4 linked regions of the Drosophila melanogaster genome follow. The protein of the gene in region 1 interacts with the protein of each later gene in a pairwise test. Each region holds a gene or a part of one and is shown on either strand. Other genes may lie near its edges.

Evidence for each region.
Region 2: the proteins of PSMG1 (region 1) and CG43996 interact in a two-hybrid assay, tested with the Drosophila melanogaster proteins (one large-scale study listed by BioGRID).
Region 3: the proteins of PSMG1 (region 1) and CG12321 interact in a two-hybrid assay, tested with the Drosophila melanogaster proteins (one large-scale study listed by BioGRID).
Region 4: the proteins of PSMG1 (region 1) and CG15631 interact in a two-hybrid assay, tested with the Drosophila melanogaster proteins (one large-scale study listed by BioGRID).

The regions. Positions count from the first base shown.
Region 1 is NT_033777.3:5,790,478-5,798,538, forward strand, and holds PSMG1 (proteasome assembly chaperone 1), read right to left. Parts: upstream 3,841-8,061; 5' UTR 3,746-3,840; coding exon 3,645-3,745; intron 3,592-3,644; coding exon 3,164-3,591; intron 3,100-3,163; coding exon 2,921-3,099; 3' UTR 2,846-2,920; downstream 1-2,845. Other genes in the region: Rpn5 (regulatory particle non-ATPase 5), read left to right, coding at 1-347, 407-563, 626-928; Hpf1 (histone PARylation factor 1), read left to right, coding at 1,496-2,845; CG10979 (uncharacterized protein), read left to right, coding at 4,408-4,563, 4,672-4,818, 4,901-5,363, 5,434-5,581, 5,952-7,917.
Region 2 is NC_004354.4:17,020,457-17,023,870, reverse strand, and holds CG43996 (uncharacterized protein), read right to left. Parts: upstream 1,568-3,414; 5' UTR 1,548-1,567; coding exon 564-1,547; 3' UTR 501-563; downstream 1-500. Other genes in the region: CG43997 (uncharacterized protein), read right to left, coding at 1-345.
Region 3 is NT_033777.3:18,187,305-18,190,556, forward strand, and holds CG12321 (uncharacterized protein), read right to left. Parts: upstream 1,404-3,252; 5' UTR 1,302-1,403; coding exon 558-1,301; 3' UTR 521-557; downstream 1-520. Other genes in the region: Arp5 (Actin-related protein 5), read left to right, coding at 1-520; MED17 (mediator complex subunit 17), read left to right, coding at 1,826-1,914, 1,986-3,252.
Region 4 is NT_033779.5:4,729,342-4,738,247, forward strand, and holds CG15631 (uncharacterized protein), read right to left. Parts: upstream 5,118-8,906; 5' UTR 5,086-5,117; coding exon 4,965-5,085; intron 4,914-4,964; coding exon 3,166-4,913; 3' UTR 3,072-3,165; downstream 1-3,071. Other genes in the region: fipi (factor of interpulse interval), read right to left, coding at 6,206-6,426, 6,508-6,999, 7,718-7,870, 8,022-8,159, 8,262-8,372.

The sequences.
Region 1 (8,061 bases):
AGAGACACCTCCTTCCTGAATACTTCGCGCCATTATCAGGCCATAGCGGAGCCTCCGCGCAAGAAGACTGGCCTTACACCCGTAGACTCTGCCGCGTCCACGGATGAGCAAAAAAAGAAGGATGACGATAAGAAAAAGAAGGAGGAAGATGACAAGGATAAGAAGCCAGAGGTTGCTACAGAGGCTGAGGTCGAAATTGAACTTACCGAGGAGCAGAAGAAGGAACTGACGGAAAAGCTGGTTTGTGCCGTGCTTTATTGCGTTTTAGCTCCCTTCGACAACGAACAGAGCGACATGATGGCACATCTTTCGAAGAACAAGAAGCTGGAGGAAGTGCCCGCCTATAAGTAAGTACATTTGATTTGAAGTACATTTCGAGCATGTTATTTTATTTTCGATTTAAAAGGGAAATTCTGCGCTTGTTCATGTCAAAGGAGCTGATCAACTTCGACACATTTAATGCAGACTTTGGGCTCGTGTTGGCTGAAAACGAGATGTTCAAGGATAGCACCAAGCATGGCAAGAAATGTATCACCGAGCTTAAGGATCGTCTGATAGAGCATGTAGGTTTTTTTTGATTTAAATCAATACTAATAATAACTAATTGCTACTGGTTATTTCATAGAACATTCGCATCATTGCCATGTATTACTCCCGCCTGCATTTGGCGCGCATGAGTGAGCTGCTGAACCTGCCCACCAGCCGCTGCGAGGAGTATCTTTCTAAACTGGCCAACACCGACACCATCCGCGTAAAGATCGACCGTCCCGCCGGCATCATTTACTTCACCCAAAAAAAGAGCGCCTCCGACATCCTGAACAACTGGGCCACCGACGTCAACCAGCTGATGTCCCTGGTCAACAAGACCTGCCACTTGATTAACAAGGAAGAGTGCGTCTACTCCGTCATGTGTGCTGTCGAGGATTAATCCTGTTCCATAGGTGCTTAGAATAGTGTTTCCCCCTTGAAGCGCCTATCCACACGCAACTGTAATTGTACTAACCCCTAACCATCAACATTTCGATTCTCTTCGTGAAGTTTGTATTCATTGAATGAACTACAATTATTAAATGAATCCCCCCATTAAATCTCCATGCAATTCAGTGCAGTTTTTGCCAGTCACTGGTGATTTCCGGCGGTATTTTACAACACTTTTGGGGGTGTGTGCAGAGTGCTTCTTCTTATCCAGGGAAGTCAACATGGGCGTAGATCTAAAAAAATGACTAAAATTGAATTTAAGTGTCCAATAAAAGTATACAAGTTTATGAAAAGTTTATTAGCTTTTCACCAAGGGGAAATGTCTGGGCTGTAGTATATAGTGTAGTATTTTCTATTACCCAGCTGTCATGGTAAAGTATTTTTCTCAAATGGGTCAGAATCATCCCCTTGCAACTTTTAACGGCGTCACTGGATGCTTGTTATTCTTGTTAATTGTGCCATAGCAAACCTCACATTTTGCAAATTTGTTTGAAATCGGTATTGTTGTTACTTAAGAATGCCAAAAGAAGATTGCAAATACTGGGATAAGTGCTATCAGCAGAATCCCGCACATTTGTCCAAATACAATCATCCGAAAAAGCAACAAGAACACGAAGTGGACGGCGCAGAAGGCAAAAAAGTGGCGCCAAAAAGAAGTGCATCCTCGCAGTCTGGTGAACAGAAAAAGGAAGAACAAACGGAGCCGGTGAACAAGGATAAGTCCAATACGAGTGCTTCAAGTACGGAGATGGTGAACAAGGATACAGCCAAGGGCAGTTATGAAGCCGAAACCGAGGAGCTTCACAAAGAGGCCATGAGCAACATATCCGGAAAGAACTACATGGAGATCTTGGAGAAGCGCATCCGCCTGTCCGTGCAGAAGGAGTACGACAATCTCTGCGAGTCCAACGAGTTCATTCGACACAAGTTCCTTGTCGAAATGCCGCCGGACTTCTACGAATTTTGGAAGTTTGTGGGAAGCTTAAAAATTGATCCTGCGAAGCCCAAGGATGCTGGCTTGGAGCACCTAGACAAAGTATTTCAACTGCAGTTGGTGGGTCCCTTTGAGTTCCTAGCCGGTAAATTTCACGGCGCCAAACTAGGCGAACCGGGAGACTACCTGCGCCACTGGCGTTTTTACTACGATCCACCAGAATTTCAGACGATCTTCGTGCGCCGAGGCACTGGGATTCACTACGGTTACTGGCGCGATGTGCCGCAGGACAAGGAAAATCTCTTAATAGCCCGCAACGACTCTGCGAAAGGCTGCCAGTTCCAATTCGTCGCTGGAAATGCCTTCGATGCTTTCCTCTACTACCTGGAGCACGATTTTGCGGCCACTCCGTTCTCATGCGGGCAGTTGGCGGGGACCAAAAAGGCGGTGGCAAAATACCTGAGTGACAATTCCCTAGAACTGGCCCAGCTGGACCGACTGCAGCGGGAGCGCAACAAGCGTGTTGTGGCCAAGACATTCCACCGAGCCGGCATTGTTGTGCCCTTTGACCAGAAGACAGAAGTGGGATACCGCCCGCTGGCTGTCAGCGATTCCGAACTCAAGAAGATGCTGGCAATGCTTGAGCGGAAGGACGTCGATAATGGAGCCGCCAAGCAGGCGGTTCTGGAGAAGCTGCAGCCGGTGGCCAACGCAGCCAACATAGCAGTTGATGAATCGGACTTTGGAAGCGCCCTGGAACTAGGCATCGATATGTTCTGCAGTGGGCACAAGGAGCTGCACATGCTTGCCTCATCGTTGCTGGTACCCGCCTATTCAATGCTTTCCCGTCCACAGTTCATAGCCATCGCCAAGGCGCACATGGAGCAACGTAGTCGGGAGGACAACCTCAGCATTTTTGATGTACTTAAGTAGTTCGATTTTTATTCCGCAACCGTATCATTTTTACAAGCATTAAAACTAGGAAGTTGAGCACAGCCAAAAGTAGTTTCACATGTACAAATAAGAGCTCTCCTTCCGCGGAGGGATGTAGCTCGAGCTGCAGGCAACGCCCGCGGCTTTAAGTACCTTGATCACTGGCTGCGCAGCTGTGGCGTCGAGGGGCAGCTTGTCGGTGTAAATAACGAAAGAGGTAACAGGCAATTCCATCTGATCCCGCCAACTGGCAACTGCAAAAAAAGGTGAACAGATGGTGAGGTGATTCAACCTTCTCCTTTTCCACTCATCACTCACCGCCTGCTGCAACTCCAGCGATAAAGTTGGGAGCCTCTAGTTCAGTGATATCCTTCTGGTTGGCACCTATGCCGCGGACAACGGCAATGTGATCCCGGTAGAGCTGGATGTCCTCGCTTTTGAACTCGACCTTTGGCTTAAGCGTCAGAGTGATCACTTTCTTGGCAAGCTTCACGTACGGCAGTAGGAGCTCCGCTACCTCGCCGCTACTGGTCAGGTCCTCGTTGATTATGGCCAGCAACTGTTTGGACGAATGACTCCAGTGCAGGGTCGAGTTATTGGCAGGAATGGCGCACACACGCTTTGCATCCTTTTCCAGCAGAGAAGAGGCGAAGTGAGTGACGTTGACGCCCTCAATGACCACCAGCATCTCGCTCTCCACAGGGGCAGCTTCCCCATCGCAATCATCATCAAACTTCAGCTGCAGCCTGCGAATCCAAGAAATTAGGACTACCTACGTAAATAACATTAGATCACGCACTTCTCCACCGGCTTAAGGTTCTCCAATTCATCCTCGTCGCAGTCGTCCCAGAAGGCACGCGACGAGGGTATATTTAGTTCTCCAAATCCTGGACAGCTCATCGTGTCTGTTTTGATTTAATAAAAAAGGTGAAACTAATATGATGAGCCTAATTCCGGTCACTATGTTTTTTTCAAGTCATCAGTGTGACCATGTGCTGAACGCCAAAATAAACGTTTTTCTATTTGAATAAATTACATTTGCAGGTAATATTTAGGAACTTTTAGCGCTTTTTCTGAACTTATTAGGGCTTGGCATGTCAATTAAAGATTTAACAATAAGCTAATTCCAAAATTATGTATTGACAATATTGTTTGGGGGTTTTGAGAATTGATGGAAGTTACGCCCACTGAGCAAGGGAGAAATCAAACTTCAATTGTTAGTTCTAGTCGAATATTAAAACAAATGTGGTTCCAGCTTATTGGTTTTGCCTGATTAAATATTTTCGACTCTTCCGTTTTTTTTTAAGTTGAAACAAAAAATTCCGCACAGGTTAATAAAAATACCAGATCAGCATCGCAGCAGAAGCAGCGCTCAAGCACGGTCATACTGAATACAAAAAATGCAAGATGCAGGTCCATATTCGAATTGGAAAACCACTTTGATCGCTAATTAGAAACAGATTAAGAACCTCACGTCGGTGAAAATATTCCGTAGGGCAGCGCGCTAGGACAGGTCTCAAATTTTTTGGTTAGCAGTGGGAGCAAGCGCGCAAACCAGCGCCATGAGAAAGCGAAGCTCACGTTGTAACTCTGACACTTTCAAGGAGGAGCAGATGGACCACAACGGTGACGACATCAGCCTGCTGCAGCGGCCGCTGCGCACCGCCCACACGGGATTCGAGGAGGCCCGTCGGGCCTATGAGGATGGCACCAGCGAGGTGAGTCTCATCTGAGTGGAGTACGTGACTCAATTGTGGCCCGCAATGGCGGAGGCTCCTGCGCCCCAGTTTGGTGGATCCCCGGATAACAATCAGATTCTCCCACAGGTGCGCCAGCTGCTCAGTCTGGAGTGCAGCCTGATCTACGAGTGCAAGGTGTGCCGCAACATGTTTCGCAGCCTGGCCAATTTCATCAGCCACAAACGCGTCTTTTGCTGCGTCAGCGCTCGTTCGGCAAATGGCAGCGGATACACAGTGAGTGGGCAGTAAAGACAACCCCATTACAAGGTCTCTAATACCATAGGATGTCAACTAATCGCTGTTAATTCTCCCCCAGGATCAGAATTCCACTATGATCATACAAACGGGTGGTGGTCCGTCCCCGCAGGACATTGAACATATGCTACGCAGCAGAAGCACGGGATGCTCGCCTGTTCCCCGCGACGTGCGTCCCTTACGAGGAGGAGGTGGCGGCGGCATAAGGGACCTGAGTGGTGTTATAGAGCGTCTGCGACGGGAAAAGGCTACATCACAGGCCAAGTGCAGCTCGCCCACTGTTCTGCAGCTGGAGTCTGTGCCCAACTCTAGCCAGGCTGTTTATCAGACCATCAAAGTGGACCACGACGACAGCATAAGGACAGAACTGGACGAGGTGCATCGCATGCTTAATCCATCTGAAACCATTGTGGGACCCGACGGCAAGGCCTTGGCAACCGTTAAGCTGGAAAACAATGCAGGCAGCGACTCCGGCGAGCAGTCCATCAGCGACGAAACGGAGCCGAGTATTTTCTGCGAGATCTGTACGACTACCTAACCGAATAGGCCTTGAATACAATTAGTGATAGCTGTGTTTCCTAATCTCGTTCACAGGCAATCTGACGTTTCAGACGCACAAAACGCTTGAGGTGCACATTCAGAAGCATCACTCATCATCGGCGTTTGTGTTTCAGTGCCCAGCCTGTTCGCTGACCTTTCTGCAGGCCGCTGCTGTTATTCGTCATTTGTCGAAGGATCACAAGTAAGTTCAACTTAACCCGACCATAGAATTTTTATATTTTATTATTATAAAATATATGATATTATTCTACTTCAAGGGGACAGGTTCCTTTTTTCTTTCACATGGTCCATTTATATCTGCTTACTGCATACTGCATTCCTTATACATATATGTATATGTCAAAAATCATATTGTTTCCAAGGAAACAATCTAATTTACTTTCTATTTATGTGAATTTTTTAAGCCCTGAATCATAAAAACAGAACAACTAATAATCATAAATAAAAATATAACAGATACATTTTTATAGGGATAGTGGTTTTTCTAAAAATTATACATGCAATGTGTGAACTAATATTAATGTTGGTCCTTTTGCAATTTAATTTTTCAGGAAGCCAACTCGACGTATTCGAATGATGCGGAACACTATCCTCAAGCGACGCATTCAGCAAGGAGATGTGCAGCCGAAGGGCCCCTGCCGGGAGTTGAAGCGCCTACAGCTCTCCGACGACGTGGTGGGCTATGTCCCTGAGCCACTAGATGCCAGCGGTGAGCACCGTAAGATCATGTCTTTGTGTATCTATTGCGAAAAATCATTCGAGCGTCGCGCTGCCTTGTCAACACACCTGCTTAATTGTCGGGCGAAGCAGGAGGCGCTGGCTAAGCCTGCTCCTTCTGTCAAAAAACTGAAGATGAAGAGCAATGATTCCAGTGTGGATGCAGCTGATGAGGATCCAACGACGTCCATAGACCTGCCGAAAAAAAAACCGATCAAAACCGAGGAAATTACTCTGAATGAGATGTTTGCCGATCTACCAGAGCCGAACGACTCATTTGCACCTGGTCTGCACACAGTGTCATTGGACCAGCTTAACTTAGGCAATGTAAGTGACTCTGCTAGTGACGAAGCCTCTAACACCGACGACGAGCACGAGCTAACACCAGGGGCCGGACCTGAATCCAATGCCGATGCAGAAGATGTCAAGGGTAAGGCCAAGAAGAAACGTAACGTCCCAGTTGAGAAGCAGCTGCGATGTCGCTGTAAGATCTGTCACAAGCAGTTCAATGCCCTCGGGAACCTACGTCGTCACATATCCATGTTTCATTACCGCGCACGCCGTTTTGGCTGTAACCTGTGTGAATATCGCGCATTTAGGCGCTACGATATTGTAAATCATTTGGGATTTACTCATAAGATAGAAGGAGACCGAGACCAGCTGACGGAGCAATATGTGTCCACCCACGAGTGCGAGTACTCTCGAGACGATGTCGACGGAGATATAATTTTGCTGGATAAGGAGGAGGAGCTTACAGTGATGGAGAAGGATGCTAAACCCCCTATCAAAACCTACGAAAGACGCTTGAAGCATCTCAAAACCCTAACAGAATCTGTAGGTGAAGTGCAACCCAAATCTCCAACAGCCGCGATAAAAGAAGAACCCGGACAGGAGCCTCTGGAGGGTACTCCCACGCCCAGCAAAAAGCGTCGCAAGTCTCGTACCCAAATCTCACCCGAATCTGGAGAACATTCCCAGGAGAAGCGTCCCATCCGTAAGCGAGTTAAAGCGGTTAACAAGGACTTCGTCTACGACTTGGTCAGTTTCAAACCGGATGGATCATGCCAGCAACCTCCGGGTGCGCAAGCCGTAGAATCCATGCGGGCCAAACTGCGTCGTCCCGCGCCGGTGGGCAACGATGAAAGTAAGGCCAAACAGTACGAAGCATACATTACGGAAGAGAAAAAGCATCTTGTGTTCGGCATCACACGGCGCATAATGCTGGAACTGGTGAGCCAGGGTCTGGCGGTGTCTGCTACTCTGCCAGAATTGCCCTCAGAGCGACCGCAGATACGACCGCGTCTTATCTCGCACTCGCGCAGCGAAAGCGGATCGCAGCAAAAGCAAAATATTGTAGAAACTACAGTGGATCCTGCTCCGGAAACCGAGAGTTTCATCGAGAAGATTGCGAAGCGAACGGCAGCTGCTGGCAAGGATAACGCTGTCATCAGCAACCTGTGGAACAAGGTCAACACTGCGATTGCCCAGCAGGAGAAGCAGCAGAAGAAGGAACAGGAGCCGCTTCAAGAGGCTCAGCCAGAGGAAAAGTCGGAAACAGAAAAATCAAAGAGCCCTCTGCAAGCGCCATCGCCACCGTCACCGCCCAGCATATGCGAAGCCACCGTTCCCGAAACGCTGGCGACCACTGGTATGGATTGCCTGCGAGGAAAGGGCAGTCAAGCGGGAGCTTCGACAGTGTTTCCGTCCCTGCCCAAGCCGCCATCCGTTTTGCAGGCGGCTGCCAATGGGACCATACAGTTCACTCTGGACAGTCTTCTACGAGCCGCTCTGCAGAACTAAACGGAACCGGAAATGGAAGTCACCGCCACCATCATCGTTTCTACTTTCACAGCTTTCGGTTGTCTTTCCTACTGGATTTTTACTCAAACTTTCAGCTGGTCGCATTCGCATCAACCGTTTTGAATGTAATTCACTAGTGTCCTT
Region 2 (3,414 bases), on another chromosome or scaffold:
CAGCTGCATTTCCTCCTTTCCCTCCTTGACCAACATGGCCCACGAATCGGGAAACTTGTGGTGCGACTTGCGCTGTGAACGTGCCATATTCTTGCCCATGCGGTAATCTGGGTTCAAATCCAAGTCACTGGTGTCCAGTACCTCGTCCATGGCGTCCACATCTTGGCCTTTGCGACAGTTCGACTGGACCTCATAGTCCTGGTCCGTCATCTTTTCAAACATGTCCGATTCATCATCGTAGTCGTAGAAGGTCGGTTTCTTTGGTGGACGTCGTCCGTCCACTTGACAGCGCCCGAAAATCACAATGGAAATGTAGATTATCACCAGTAAAGCGACGGAAGTCATTTTCGATAAGTTGTCGGAGTGCTGACTATAGTCGGAATGAGTAAAAGCGGCTGAAACATTTGGCAGAAGAAGGGCTGGCGTACTTGGATTACACATTTCATATAGTATTAATATATTTTTTAAAAGTTGTGAACATATTTAAAGCAAGAGTACATACAAATGGTTTTATTCTTTATTGTAGGGTCTCTTTAAGTATTAATATTCATACAATATTTATTTTATAAATCCGGAGTTATCATTCTCATCACATTTCGCTCGATCTCATCCCGACTGTCCATGAGGCGACGCAATTTAGCATCGTAATCCTCGTATCGTTCTTGATTTTTTTCATCCGGCTGTAATTGCGATGAAGCCTGAAACTCCTCTGATGTTTCCGGTGAGGTCATCCAATATCTCGACTTTGATCCCGTGATGTCCTGGCCGCTGTTCAAAGTGGTTTGCAGCTGGACAGGACCATGGAAGAGTTGCAATAGAGGCGGAACCATCACTCGACGATCCTCAGTAAAAGCTTGTGGCTGGACCTCTTTGTTATCCACACTGTCCTCGAAATGGCAGTTGTCATCAGCACACAGCTCGGTTGCCTCATAGAAATCCGGCTTCTTGGACCATTTCAGACTAGGATGTTCCGTAGGCGTAGTGCCTTGGTTGTTGTTTCTGCATATGTTGTCATTTTTCGCTTTTGACAAGCGGGATTGAAGGATCTGCAGATTATCGGTTATGGCTTTGGTGTGCTTGTGCAGAGATCCCAACAAACAGTTAATTCTCGAAACAAAAGCTTCATCCTCAAAACTAATGTCGTCGTCCTCCTCTTCATAAGCCTCATCATCGCCATTGTCTTCATCACCATCATGGATATCATCGTCATCACTATTGCCCGCAGGATCGGCATTCTCGTCATCGTCCTCGTCCTTGACCATCTTCCTGTCAACCTTGCAGCGATCCTTCTTTTCATACTTCACATCATTCGGATTTTCGGCGGGACATATGCCCGATTGCGAGTCCATGTCGGTATTGACCTTCCACTGATCCCGATCTCGATCGAAATCGTCCTCCATGGCACCGCTTCGTTGCTTCTTTGGCTTTTCAAATATGGAGTTAAAGCCATCAAATGTGTCACCATCGTCAATATACTGTATCAGTTGAGTCAATTGAGTGTGTAGCAAAAGGATAAATATAATGATTATTTTAGTTAACCAGGCCATTTTATTTTGTTAGAGCGTAGCAAATGACATTTAATGCTTTTCGAAACATTTAAACATCAAACGATGATTCCTTGAATTTTAATTGTTTGCTTTTGATTCTCATAAACATTTTCGCTCAACCTCCGGAATGGAAATCTTACAAAACCAATGGATTCCTGTGGCTTTCCTTCCGGTATGTCATCGGTTTGCATTCCTGCGGCTTCTGGCGGCTTCATCTCCTGATGCTTTTCTCCAGCTTTTCCCTGATTTTCCCGCAGTTTCCTGCTGCCACTGACGTCAAGGATGCGGCACTGAAATGTTCACTTATTGCGGTTTTTGTTTCCATTCTTTTACCCCGCCTGTTGTTTACAACCTGCGCACGATTGCCCCAAAGGTGCGACCATGGGCGGGTTGGCATTGGGGGTTGGGAAATGTGGGTGGTGGTGGGTTGTGGATAAAAGGGGGGGGGGGGGTGGCGTCTAACGAATTCATCAGCGCTCACAAAAGATGAAGAAAAATGGTAAACTGAGGCCAAAAGATGGCCACGAGCGAAACACCTACGCAAGCGGAAGGGAAGTCACTCACCATCTCCCACAAAAAACCCCTACACCACGACATGCACTGGAAAAAATGAGGAAGGAAATACAAAAACTTATTTTGAGATTTTGAGATGGTTTATTATAAAAGTTTTTGATTGTCCTCATTCATTCAATCCTATATACTATAGGAAAACATGCATATTTTCTCAGATCTTGAAATGTTGGACAATTTTTTCTTAGTGCATAATCACACCATGCTGAGCGTCACCCTTGCGGAAGTTGCTAAAGGATGGAAAGGATGCCGGTGAGGATGGAAATAGAAATAGAAACGCAGCACAAGTGCTACAGACAAGTCCGATGATGAAGACGATGATGGTGCAGGTGATCCAGGTGCCTCAGGTGGGAGTGGGGATAGTTACGACTTATATGCATCACCGGAGGACGATGGGCGGGGCATGATGAGTACCGCTCTTGGAAAATGCATTTTCAGTGTCGCTTTCCTGCCGTGGGTGCAACAAGCTGTCCCATGAAAATGTCTTTATGCCCGAGCAAAATTGGAAAACATGCGTGCACTGAGGGAAATTCATCGATCGAACTTTTTATGGAAACTACAATTGCGATTAAGGCATCTTAAGTTTTGTTCAATTTGTTATATTACTGTATTTCATAAAAGGTTTTAACTACACCTTTTTCGTTAAGGCCTAAGATTATTAACATTTTACAATAAAAGCTCGTTATTTTACTATTTCTCTAGGTGTAGAGGTATGCTTAAACAGGTTTGCCCCTCAGTTATCATGTCCTCTTAGAGATTTGATTTAATTCCGCCGGCCCACTCTAGCATTTTGTAATTGCTCGACCAGGCGACTTCCCTGCAATTTGCAATTAAACTGCTGCAGTTGATGGCAGTCGTCGTTGGGGAGTCGATTCCATTTCCACAGGATATACAGCGAGCAGGAAAACGCACATCTGTGCGGGAAAAAGTTGGCCAGAGGGAGCTTTTTAGTTCAGTGACATTTAAACTTTAATTTAAAGTGGCAAGCCCTTTTACTCGCAATGGCAATTAGCAGTGAAAGGAGGGGAGAACTAAATGAGCTATTTCTAATTATGTGTTTCAGCGTTTGCCCCTTTTTAATGGAACATAATTTATTTTTCCTGTTACTTTGGGCCATACAAAGAACGAATAAAAATAATTATCAATTATTATTATGCGGCTTCAGTTGAGCGATTTTTAGGCGTTACCAAATGACGCATTTCAATTCAAAATTGTTTAAAAGCCATTTAGACTAATCTATACCACCATATTTCAGAAAAAAGTTTTTGTTATGAATAATTTGGTTAGTTTAAAGCAT
Region 3 (3,252 bases), about 12 Mb from region 1:
TAACGAAAAGTTGATGCAGTTCGATAAGATCCTAAATCACTATGATGCCAACACCGATGGCAACTCCAATGTTCCGCCACAGAGTGCCGCCGAGAACTACCAGCTGCACTTTGGGGTTGAGAACATTCGCGTGCCGGAGGTTCTATTCCAGCCCAGCATGATTGGTTGCTCAGAGGCGGGGCTAGCAGAACTAATAGCATTCGTGCTGAAGCTATTTCCCGCCGCTGAGCAGCAGCGCCTGGTTGAGCACGTGTACCTAACCGGCGGTTGTGCCCAATTCAAGGGTCTCAAGGAGCGACTAATCAAGGAGCTCATGGAAATGCGACCGTTTCAATCAAAGTTCGCCATCTACGAGTCGGATGAGCCAACTTTAAGCGCCTGGCTGGGAGCATGTGTGCACGCAGGAGAGCCCACCTTCGGTCAGACGCTGACCACGCGTCAGGACCACCAGGAGCATGGCAGAGAGTTCTTTCGGGAGCACACAGCTAGCAATATCTTTTATCCTACACCAAAAGATTAACATTTATTTGAAAGCACCGAAAAATACATGTAGACGCTTAAAAAAGAAGTTCCGTAACATCATTGCCGAATAGTAGGTTCCAGGACTTGGGCACGGTGAGCTTAAAACTGCCATCGCCTCCGTTGCGCAGCTGAAGGAAGTCTTCGCAGAGTTCGTTCAGTTCCCGGACGATTAGAGATGCATCGGTGGAGTTGTCGCCCTCGAGGAGATAGCGGAATAACAGCATGACGGGCACCTTCTGCTCATCGAAGGCTTTAAACAACTGCAAGGCATTGCCGCCGCCATAGATGGCATCGCCCTTGTGCTCCTTCCACTTGATCAGCTCCTCATTGCCCAGCTGGGCAGCATGCGCTTCCTTGAAGTTTTCGCTGGCGCGGTATGCCCATGGCGACTCCTCAATGACTCGTTTCTCGAAGCCGAAACTGCCGCTTAGAATGACTACGCGTCTGGCGCCCTTGAGGAGCTCCACTAGTTCCTTCTGAAAATGCGCGGTGTGGCGGGCAACCCATGGCGCCCGGAATTGCACGACCAGTAGCTTATCCTCCGTACCCTCGTACAGTTCGCAGGAGGAGACCTTCTCTTTGGGCTCGTGCTGATAGGCGGAGGGTCCGTAGACCGGAATCAGGGCTGGATGTGTGATGGATCCAATTCGCCGGAGTTCCTTGGACGCAATCAACAGGTCACAGGCCAGCTGCGCCGCGTTTCCCACGCAAATGCTCGGTATGATTACTGTGTGCTCTGCTACGTCCAGAGTGGTACGCTTGTCCTTTAGAAACAGCATAATTGGGTTAAATCTCTTGGTGTCCGGAATGAGTTGAAGATGCTAATTCAAGTCAAGTCAAAAATATGAAAGTAATGATTCCAGTGTTGGTGTGTTTACCAATTGACACTGGGTGGCAACTCTGGCAAGGAGCTTAATAAAAGTGCGGTTCAAAAATCAAAAGAGATAACTTCGTTGTTTAAGGTAAACAAATTTTATTTACATTTAAGGACATTTTTTTGACTGCTGCCTACTTATACTTCGCATATAAATGAATATAAGCACGTGGCCAAGCCATTAAATTTCAAAGTTTTGTCTTAAATAAATAAAACTTAATTTAAAGCAAGAAAGTAATTTTATAACACATATTAATTAAATATTAAACATTTTTAAATATCAATATTTTATACATTACATTCGTTACTAACCTGGAAAAAAGTGTTGTTTTTGAGCACTCATTTATCGATAGCCGGCCGCAGACGTTTTGCAGCACTATTCTTTAGTTTTGCTTTGACAAACCAAATGTTTTGTTTCCCGGCGCAAATATGTCGAATTCCGTGAATATATCAGTGGAAACGACTTGCGAGAACCAGATACGTGAGATTGGCTACGATGGCACCGAATTGTATCAGCCGTATGTGTTTCCGCTAGCCAGCAAGCCCTCTTCTCAATGATTTATTGGGTTCTTTGTTTTTTTCTCCTTAGGCCGCCGACTTTGTCGGAAAGTCTGGCGAAATGTGCGGCGCGCATAGACTTCAGCAAGACGTCGCTGGACGACCTCAAGAAGGAGGAGAAGTCGGCGGCAGCGGCCGCCGACGAGGACAAGGACGCCACTCAGTTCCAAGAGAGCCTGTGGCCCTGGGATGCGGTGCGCAACAAGCTGAAGGATGCGCTCACGGAGATATGTGTGCTGTCCGATGTGATCTCCATTGCCAAGGACAAGCGCTATTTAGTGCTCGATCCACTGCTCGAGGAGGCTGACGACACCAAGCCCATTGTGCAGGTGTACAGCCGCAAGAAAGCCATCTCTCAGGCAGCCCAAGTGCTCCTAAGTGGCGCTGAACGCCTGCGGAACGCGCACAGCGAGCAGCGCAATCGCAATGTCTCAGATTTCCACATAGAACTACTGCGCCTGCGACAGAACTGGCGCCTGAAGAAGGTGTCCAATGCGATTATCGGGGATCTCAGCTACCGCACCGCGGGCTCCAAGTTTGGCATGAGCGGTACCTTCGAGGTGACCAAAGCAGAAGAGACCGGTGATGAGGACACAGCCAGCTCATCCAACAGTAGCAGTAGCGTATCCGGCAACAATGGCATGCAACTTAAGGCCAGCTCCGCATTGCGAGTGATTGTTCCAGCGGAACTGCAGGGTGTCGCCTACATAAAGGTGATCACACAGAAGGATCAGGAGGATTTGTGCACCGCTCAGCTGAATCTGATGGGTCACGGACCCAATATAACTGCCCAGGTGGGTGTCTGGCAGAAGACACTGGAGTTCGCCCAGAATGTGCTCTTCTGCAAGGAGCTATTCGCTCAGTTGGCACGTGAAGCTATCCAATTGCAGGCACCAATTCCACATGTGGTCATCGGCAACCAAATTCGCGCCACTCTGCTGCCTAACATTCAACTTATTATCTCGTTGTGCCACTCAACCACCTTCGATTCCAGCCAGCCGGCGCCAATTAACGATCATGATCATGTTCTGGAACACTCGCTGCATCAGCTTCTGCGCGAGGTGCACTACAAGAACTCACACCATCCCTTTCCCCATCCGGCCAGTGCACCACTGGGACCCACTAAGAAGCGCATGCTAGCCGGTCCGATGGCCGCCGATCGGGAAACGTTGTTGGACATGACCAAGTCACAGACCATACTCGAACAGATCATCGCCCAGGCGCAGCACATTTTCATGCGAAAGCGAACACAATATGTGCTCGATACGCTGGCCAGGGATGTGAAGGACCCGCAGATA
Region 4 (8,906 bases), on another chromosome or scaffold:
AACATTGTAATATGTATAGTTTAGTGTGTGTGCTGCCACAACATTCGCATAAACCAACTGGCACACACACAAACACACACAGAAAAACACGCAGTATGTGTGCAGTATACAAAATGTTGCACTTCATTGCGTTGACAGAAACAAACGTGGCACAAATGTGGAGTTTCTGCAGCTCCTTCTGCTCGTCCTGCCAACTCCTGCGAATCCTTATTCATCCAACCTATGAGACTCCATCTGTTGCTGAGTGCATTTCAAACATAATTTTCAATTTTCAAACATGTTTTGCCATTTGCTCGAGCACTGCGAAATTGTTTCTGTGTGACATTTTTTGATTTGCTTAATGGTCGCTCGGTGATTCGGCATTCAGCAAATGGACGTTTTATTTCAGTACCTGATAGTTTGAAAACACCCTGCAGTTACTAGAATTTAACCATCTATTAAATTTCATAGATTTTAAGCTGGAACCAAGCCTATTTAGACATGGTAGCAGCCTCAGCCTCTTTTTGAAACAATTTAACATGTTTATTTAAACCTCACTCACTCGCCTGAAGTAGATTGCCATAAAGGGCTTTAATATAATAAGCTGTTAACGTTTAATTGCTTTTTACTGAAACACAAGCAACACATGCTATCATTATCGTTTGGCTAAACGATTTAAATTGCTCCTCTGCGATTCCCTGTGAATTTGGCCAATATCATTTGATATGCGCTTTGAGACAAAGGCTAAAACCGCTTAGAAACCGCACACGAAAAGGCCGAAACACGGGTTAAAGTTGCAGCCAAAAAGTGGGCCAACAATTGGGGAATTGTACTGGTTTTGCTCTCTCCCCTTTTTTTCCTGGTCCAAATCCTGATCCGGCTGCTGGTCCTGTTTTGCTGGTCCTTTTTGCTGGACGGACTTGGCTCCGCAGGCAGCATAATTAATTGCGGTAATTAGTGTGTTGGCAACAAACAGCAAACACACGAAAACATTCAGCAACAGCAAGTGAAACCAGCAGAAAATGGGCAAAGGGGTGTAAAAAGGGGGGGCAACAGTACCGATGCATTTACTTTGCACAAGATTTGTGGCCCCGCCAAACTCTGGCATATTAGTTGGTTGGTTTGTGGACCAACTTTTATTTACGACTCCAACCGAAGCGAAGCGCTGTATGTCCAGATATACTCGTATATATTTATATATGTATCTCTCGACTGTTGAAAGGCCGACGGCGCTAATTTAGTTGGCCGCCTTGGTTGTTCAGTGGCATCATTAGAACGCGGGAAATGATTTTTATTGCTAAGCAAACGGCGCGGGGGTGGAGGCTGAGACAGCTACTCGGGCGCAAATCTCGGAGCAAAAAGGATCTGTGCGAAAAAGGACATAACCCCCTGGAGGTCCAGTTGCTTCAGCTTGGCGAGGCAAAGAAATCCGGACATTTTGCTCTTTGCCGTTCGCTTTAATTGGCCACTTGGCGAGCACAGAAGAACAATTTAATTTTCGCCATTTTCCTATTATCTCCGTCTGTGGATAGTCGTCTTCTTAGCTGGGCTTTATGTAATTAAGGGCTGTAACAAGGGCAGCCGGGGGGCGTGGCAACGTCTGTTGTGTGTTATTACCACCGCAGTCATTAAATCTTTTGTGTGTAATTAAAAAATTACAATTTAATGCTTTGCGCTCATTTATTGACACGGCGTGCGGTCGTTGCAAAAGCATTCACATCCGCACCCATATCCGCACCGACATCCGCATCCGCCCCGTGGCCAAGCAGCTTCAAACGAGCGGAAAATCGCAGGAAAACCAAGTGGAGAAAATGTGGAACATTGTGTTGGTGGCAAAGGAAAGGGGGATAATAATGAAGCACTGATGGAATTCCTAATGATGCAAGTCAGCTCGTCTACAAAACGTGTTAAGTGTGTATTTATGGCTAGGTAAATGTTGTTAAGACTTCGTATCGCCAACGGCTGTGTGTTCCTTAGTTAATGCTGATTACTTGGTAAGAAAAGGGATTTATATTGTCAGCTTAAGACATGTGATGTGAATAAACAGACAAATAACGTTTGGCCAATAGCCACAACATTTTAAATCTGCTCCCGTAAAAATACAGCTTTGGATTTTAATTGAAAGCCTGACTCTCATGCCTGCAGTGAAAAATGCCGAATGCTAAACTTTCGATAAGCCGAATGAAAGGAAACAGATATGTGGGCGAAAAAAAAAGGGGTAAAACTCTTCGCTGACATGGAAATTGCATTGCACGAATGGTCTCGCCCCCCCCCCATCGAGTCGGGTGGCATATGACCTGGAGCGGATTTCGCGTTGATTTGCTCTAAAAGCCCGTGCGAAACTGACCCACTTGCCGGTGGATTGGTGAATTGGCGGATTGGCGGTTGCAGGCCTAAAATGGCCGAATTCTGCATTTTTTTTCGCAGTATTTATTTGTCCTCTTCTCTTCGCTGCTGATTCAGCTGTCGTCGCTCAAATCGTTGACTTAAAGTGTTGATATTGAAAGCTGGCGGGCACATGGGGCAAGTGATTTGAACTCATGCTGTGCCGAATAATGCTCCTCTCATTTGGAAATTAAATAGCCGGGCTGATTGTTTTGAACCGCACCCAAATAACGGCCACGCTCATTGCTGCTCATTGTGATGCGAATGACGATGGCCAATGGTAAATGTCAATGATGAGCGGAGCATCCATGTCCATGTGTGTAGACAGAAAAATATTTAACGCGCGGTCGGGCAATAAAAGTCACCACGCACAATATGGCGCCCAGTCGCAATGCATATCCGCATACGCAACAGCATCCGCATCTGCATCCGAATCCGACGTTTGGCATTCAACTGATTTATGCGGCTGTCAACGCAGTGCTCCTATTCCTTGCCCCAAAAAGCCCCCCCAAAAAGGCATTCCGGCCAAAAGCGCATATGCGGGTCCTTAGTTGAGCCCCAGTTGATGTGGCTGATTGACAAACCGCGCCCGTTGAACAAATGAACCATTTGCCATGCGGTCCGTCGGTTGTGCAAATGGCAGTGCAACCTGTACGGTTAGCTTTATTGAAACTAATCAGAATTTCCTTTGATCTATGCTGGCTTTTAAAATTATAAGGTCTTTTATTACAAAATTTTAGAAATACGTTGTAAGTTGGCTTAACTATAACTTTTGCTATATATTATTAAAACTGATATCTTTCAAACTGATGGTAGTTTTGTACGGGCACTTTTCTTATATCTTATCTTCATTTCTGTCTGCATATCCATCAAAGTCGTTTGAGTGGAAACTGAGTGTAACTGACTTCCAGTTACACTCCTAGTGTCGTGCTCAGTGATTTTGGTATAGGATCGCGGAACGGAGTACAGGTATTTCAGCTGCTCCAAAGGAAGTCCGAGAACCCTGCCGATATATTCCTTGCCCACCATGCAGGAGCCACGAAGTGGAGAATCGCAACCACCGGTCTGCCGCTTTGAATGATGGTATTCAAAGACGATGCCCAAGTCGCAGTTCTTCGACTTGATGGTATTCCGCACATCAATTACACTAAATGTGAGTATGTTCTGAAAAACTCCCAACTCGATGGCCTCCTCTATGGCCGCATCAGTGACCAGGTAACAACCAAGGGAACAGTCCGAGCTCAGATCCCGCACATTTACGTGATAGACATTGTCTGCTCGCAGAAATATGGATATTACTATGTCTGTCAGGGAACGATCCCAAAGTGAGTCCAGCAGTTGCCTATAGAAGCTATCAAGTATTTTCAAACACTGCCCATGACAGAACTGACAGGTGCTCGAGGTCTTCTTGTCCAGCCTTTTGGCGCCATCCATTTTCTGAATGCACTCTTTGGCCAAATGCTGAACATTGGCATTGAGGCTATTCACCTGCGTGCGGATATCGCAGAGTTCCTGGCTGTGAAGGCCCTCCAAACGTCGATTCATCTCCTCCAATTGGTTGGATAAGTCGCATATAGCCGGGCAGTTGGAACATGGCGGTGGATTCTGCGAGCAATGGGGCTCCTCTGGTATATAGTAACAGCAAAATTGGTCTTCGCTCTTGCAGTCACAGGATTCGTGGGTATCGGAAGTGCAGATTGAATTTGGAAAAGTTTCTTCAATTTCCACTGTAGGCTGACCACGATTTGCTAAAGAATCTTTAGAGCTGTGAGACTTAATAAGGCGGTGACTCTTTGCTTGCTTCTTTGTGGATTTTCGAGAACTATTCGTGTGGTGTGCAGACTTCGACTTGGAGTGATCTGTGCTAACTATTTTGGAATTCTCAGATTGATCCTTCTTTAATTGTTTAATTCCTCCACCTGTGGGCACCACAATCAACGGTCTCATGCAAAATCGTGAAGCTGTTTGATTCCTGGACGACTCCTTCATCCGTTGAGGGGCTGGCTCTTTCGGCGTTTGAGCGGGACAAGATTTTGTAATATCCCTCTGTTGCTCTTGGCTATAGCAAACGTTGATGGAGGACAGGCTGGAATCATGGGACACCGTACATGAGGTGTCCCGGAAGTGCAGATCAAATGTGGGAATATCCTTGGCCGCGGGCTCTTCAAAGGACACACAGCTCTGACGCTGGTTCTCGTGTCCATCGCTGCGTGGGGACTTATTGGGTTCCGGTATGGAACAGCGGGTGATTTTCAGGCTTTTATCGGATGCACTTTTATTGCCCCGGCAGGAAGGTTCATCATTTGTGGCGCAATCAGTTGGCTTCGAGCAAGAAGGCTTACAGGTATCATTTTGCTGGTCGTGGCTTTGGTTGTGTTTATTTTTTTTCTCCTTTCCGGATTTATTGAATTTCGTACAGAATCCGCCAGCTGAGAGGCGGCTATGTGAGCCCTGCAATTTTAGAGTGGTCCTGGATTGAAATCTTCTATGCATGGAATTTTGCACACGGATGAGGGTTGCCATATACCGCTGATATACTCTATTGTATTCTAAATAAAAATTTTAATTTTATGTATTCATTATTAGCAAGCTTTACTCACCCGGATCTGAGCTAAACCTATATATTTTTTGTGAATTCCTCATAATTTGATCTTCTAAATTAAAGTCTGCATTTAGCGGCTGGTTCGAGTTCTGACTAAAATAATGAGCTCGTTTTTCCATCTTGCAACATTTTTATGCTTTGTACTTTTTGTATATAATTTTTGAGCCGAATATTAGAAATTAACACTAAAAGCTACGCCAACTAATAGGCATTTTTTTTACTAAAATATTTATATTCTATTTACTTACTGATTTATACATCAATAAATCGAAGCACAAACGGTTCTGGTTTGATATTCATAACTTTTATTATGGCTCACACACAATTGGCAAACGAAAGTTGGAAAATATTAAATCTTTGGCTAGGTATTATGGTTTAGATTTTACACCACTTTAGCTGAAATACATTTAATTTTATTGAATATAAATAACTTTTGTAAAATATGTGTTTGTTTTTCTCTCGTTTGCATAATATTTGTATTGTGGCAAAGTGTTTAAACTTATTTTTACATCTATATTTTATTCTGTATTTTTTAGCCCTGGAAATTTACACGTGGAATTGTTTTTATTGGCCTTTGACTATTAAAAAGAATTATGTGACATATAAAACTTTTAAATGCTGTCGTTAAGCTCCTTGATATTTATATTAATTGTTTGATGCGTTTAATGGTATTCCAAAACTTTATATATTTATGTAGTTTAGTTGAAAAGATTGTTAGTTATATCGAATGACGGAAGGCATTTGTTTGTATATACTAAACTAATGTACTTTTTTAGTTTTGGCAACTGTCTGATTATATCTTAAAGATTTGGCAACGAGATGCAAAGTTGCAGGGAAAACTTCCAATTCACGTTAAAATATATACTGGAATGTTGAGCAAAGCTTTAGTTTTGCATAATTTTGGGGAGCCAAGGCCAGCAAACCATTGATTATGTCTAACTGCTATGAGGATTTGTTTAAATACATATAAATATCCTATAAGTGATCCACTAATATCATTCAAATCGAAGCACTGAAAGCGTAATAGAAATTCTTACTAAACTTAACATTCTTTAAGGTTACATTAACGCACTGAACTTAAGAGTAAACCAAATTACTTAGACCGAGCAAATCAGACAGAAAAGTGTCGCCGTGTGGACACGCCTTATAGCTATACAAAGCACATGGGGTTTAAGGTCCTGGTTTCCGGTTCCGCTAGGTGCATCACCTGTCATCCTTCATCCGCCTGCAGATTCAGATTCATCCCAGGAACGGCCGCATCAGGACCATTAGTGTCATCACACCCAGTTCCACGCACATATTTCTGGTCTCCTTGACTCCCGAAGAGACTCGGGGCTCCAGCGAAAGTGTCTTGTACTTCTCCACCTTGGTGAAGTCACTGAATCCGGCCAGATTCCGTGATGCGGCCCGCACCAGGTAAACGGTATCTGGCTCTAAGTTCGTCAGAAGGAAGGTAGCCCCTAAAATTTATAGAATCCATGAGTTTACATATCGAATGTAGCAAGAGATAGCTTTTATCTATATTTTAAAGCTTAACTCACCCTCCTCGAAAGCATAATCCTTCCGCCTGGCATTGGTCCACTTGCCCGCATCCGTCTTGAACTCCATTTCGGTCATGTACTCGATGCGGAATCCATTGACCCCCATGGGACTGTCGGGAGGACCTCGTGGAGCACTCAGTACCACATCGAAGGTGTTTGAATTGAAGCCACGCAGCTGGAAGTTGGCCGGTGACGGAGGCTTCTCGCCCTGCTCCAGTCGCGTGGTCCTCTCGATGGTGCCCAGATCGTTCCTGGCGCGACACCTGTAGTTATCGAAGGCGCTGGTGTTCAGCACATGGATGGTCAGACTCGACCAGTAGCTGTCCGACTGGATCGTGTACAGTCTGTTGTTGCTGTGCAGCTTGTTGTGTTTGCGATACCATGTAAAATTCGCTGGAGGTTCCGCCAGTGCCTCGCACATAAGAGTCGCAGTTCCGTTTATGTAGGCGTACTTTAGACTAACAAATGGAGTCTTGGACCAAATGGGCTTGTCTGCACAGGGGAAAATATCAAGGATGATATAAAAAAAACTAAAGTATTTAAAAAGGAATAGGGACTGTTTCGAAATATTTAAGCAAAAAAAAATTGATGAAGATTTCTGTTCTATCTCCCATTTTAAGGCAATTAAAAGTGCCTAAAATCGAAATGAGCATGCATAGCGCCGCAGGAGACAGCTGAAACCGCGGCAGCGCTTAAAGGTAGGCCATGGAAATGGAAAAACCATGTGCGCTAACCATAAATCAGGACCCGGCCAAGTTAAGCCATTAGCTGCATGTGCGCCACGCCCACTCGCACTGGCACTCGTACGCCCACTGGCCACACATCAGGAACACCGGTCGACATTGGGATCCATCAAAAGCATCAAAGGCATGCCGCGAGTGTAATTCCAGAATTTTTCGTGCTCAAAAACTATTTACCGCTCACTGCGCTGCATACTAAGCGCCAACTCGAAATTTGGAACAAAACGGTGCTCAAGTAATTTCGACTGTTTACCCCACCACTTTGCACACTGGGACTTGGTAGGATCAAAAATGTTATGCTCAACTTTAAGTTTGATATAATTTACAATGTATTATTCAAGGAAATTGTACACACTAGTAAAATGGAAGGGCTTTTTTTTAAATAATCACGACTTGGCAACCCAAATTTCAAAGTAGGTTCCCACTGTGGATCAGTTTTCTACGTTTTGGAAATCGTAAATCATACTCACGTTCGATTTTCATCAAAACGGTGCGCTCCTGCATATCGGAAGCAATCGAGTTGACTTGGTATGCCCGGCACGCGTACTCGCCGGTGTCATTCTGTGTTACCTTGTTGATGAGCAAACCATCGGCCAGGATGCGGAACTTGGAGTCGTCGGCCGCTGCACACGCGGAATGGAGAAGGTGGAAAAGGGCAGATATGTAGTGGCAGTCGGGTTCGGCATTTGCCAGTTGGCTGATGGTGATGGTGGTGGAGCAGATTGGAATGCAAAATGCTCATTATCGAGGGAGGTGGGGGGATGGTATTCTTACCGCCGGCACTGATGGGCTGTCCATTGAAGTGCCAGGTGACATTCGGCTGGGGCTCGCCCTTCACCTCGCACAGGATGGTGGCCTTCTCGCCCTCCTTGACCGTCATCACGGTGGCATTTTCCGTGAATGTAATTTTCTCTGTGCGTGCGTGTGTGTGTGTGTGTGTGTGTGTGTGCGAGGAGGGAAAACAATGCAATATTAATGACTGACCTCATGCCCGCCAGCGACTCCACCACTTACGGTACACAATCAAATCGAAGGATTTACTATGCAGACTTCCATCAGCAGCTTCGCAGCTCCAATTGCCCTTGTCGGCCAGTGCGATGTGGGCGAAAACGATTTTCAATTGTTCTGAGCTCGGAAAATAAACGGCGAAACGCAACGGAGTGGGCAGAGAAAATGGAAAATGGGAAATTGAGTAAGGAATACATAGGAAAAAGTTTAAACGGAGTTCGCAAAACAAAGCGATATATAAAATGGGGCCAAATGTGCGGACTATCTGATACCGCTGTGATGTAAATAAATCTTATGTGTATGTAAATATTGAATCCATTAAGATATGTTATTTGAATGTTACTATATGCTTCCTAAGTAAGTAAAGTACTCTTTTGAATTGGTAGTTATTGCTGAAATTTAAATGACTTGGGCATTCCAAGGAAATATTCCATTAATGTGGCTAGTACTGAGCACTCGGTTACAAAGAATGTGCAGAGAATTGCATTTAATTGCGTTTGTTGTGCCAGTGGCCTTGTATACACTGAACAACCCCCTGAACCCTGAACACTGAACTATGACCCCATGCCCCCTGTTCTATCCTTTCCCCTGCAGCTTTTTCTTTTGTTTTATCTAGCCCAGCCCATCCCCATCTGGTGCAGTCACATCCCA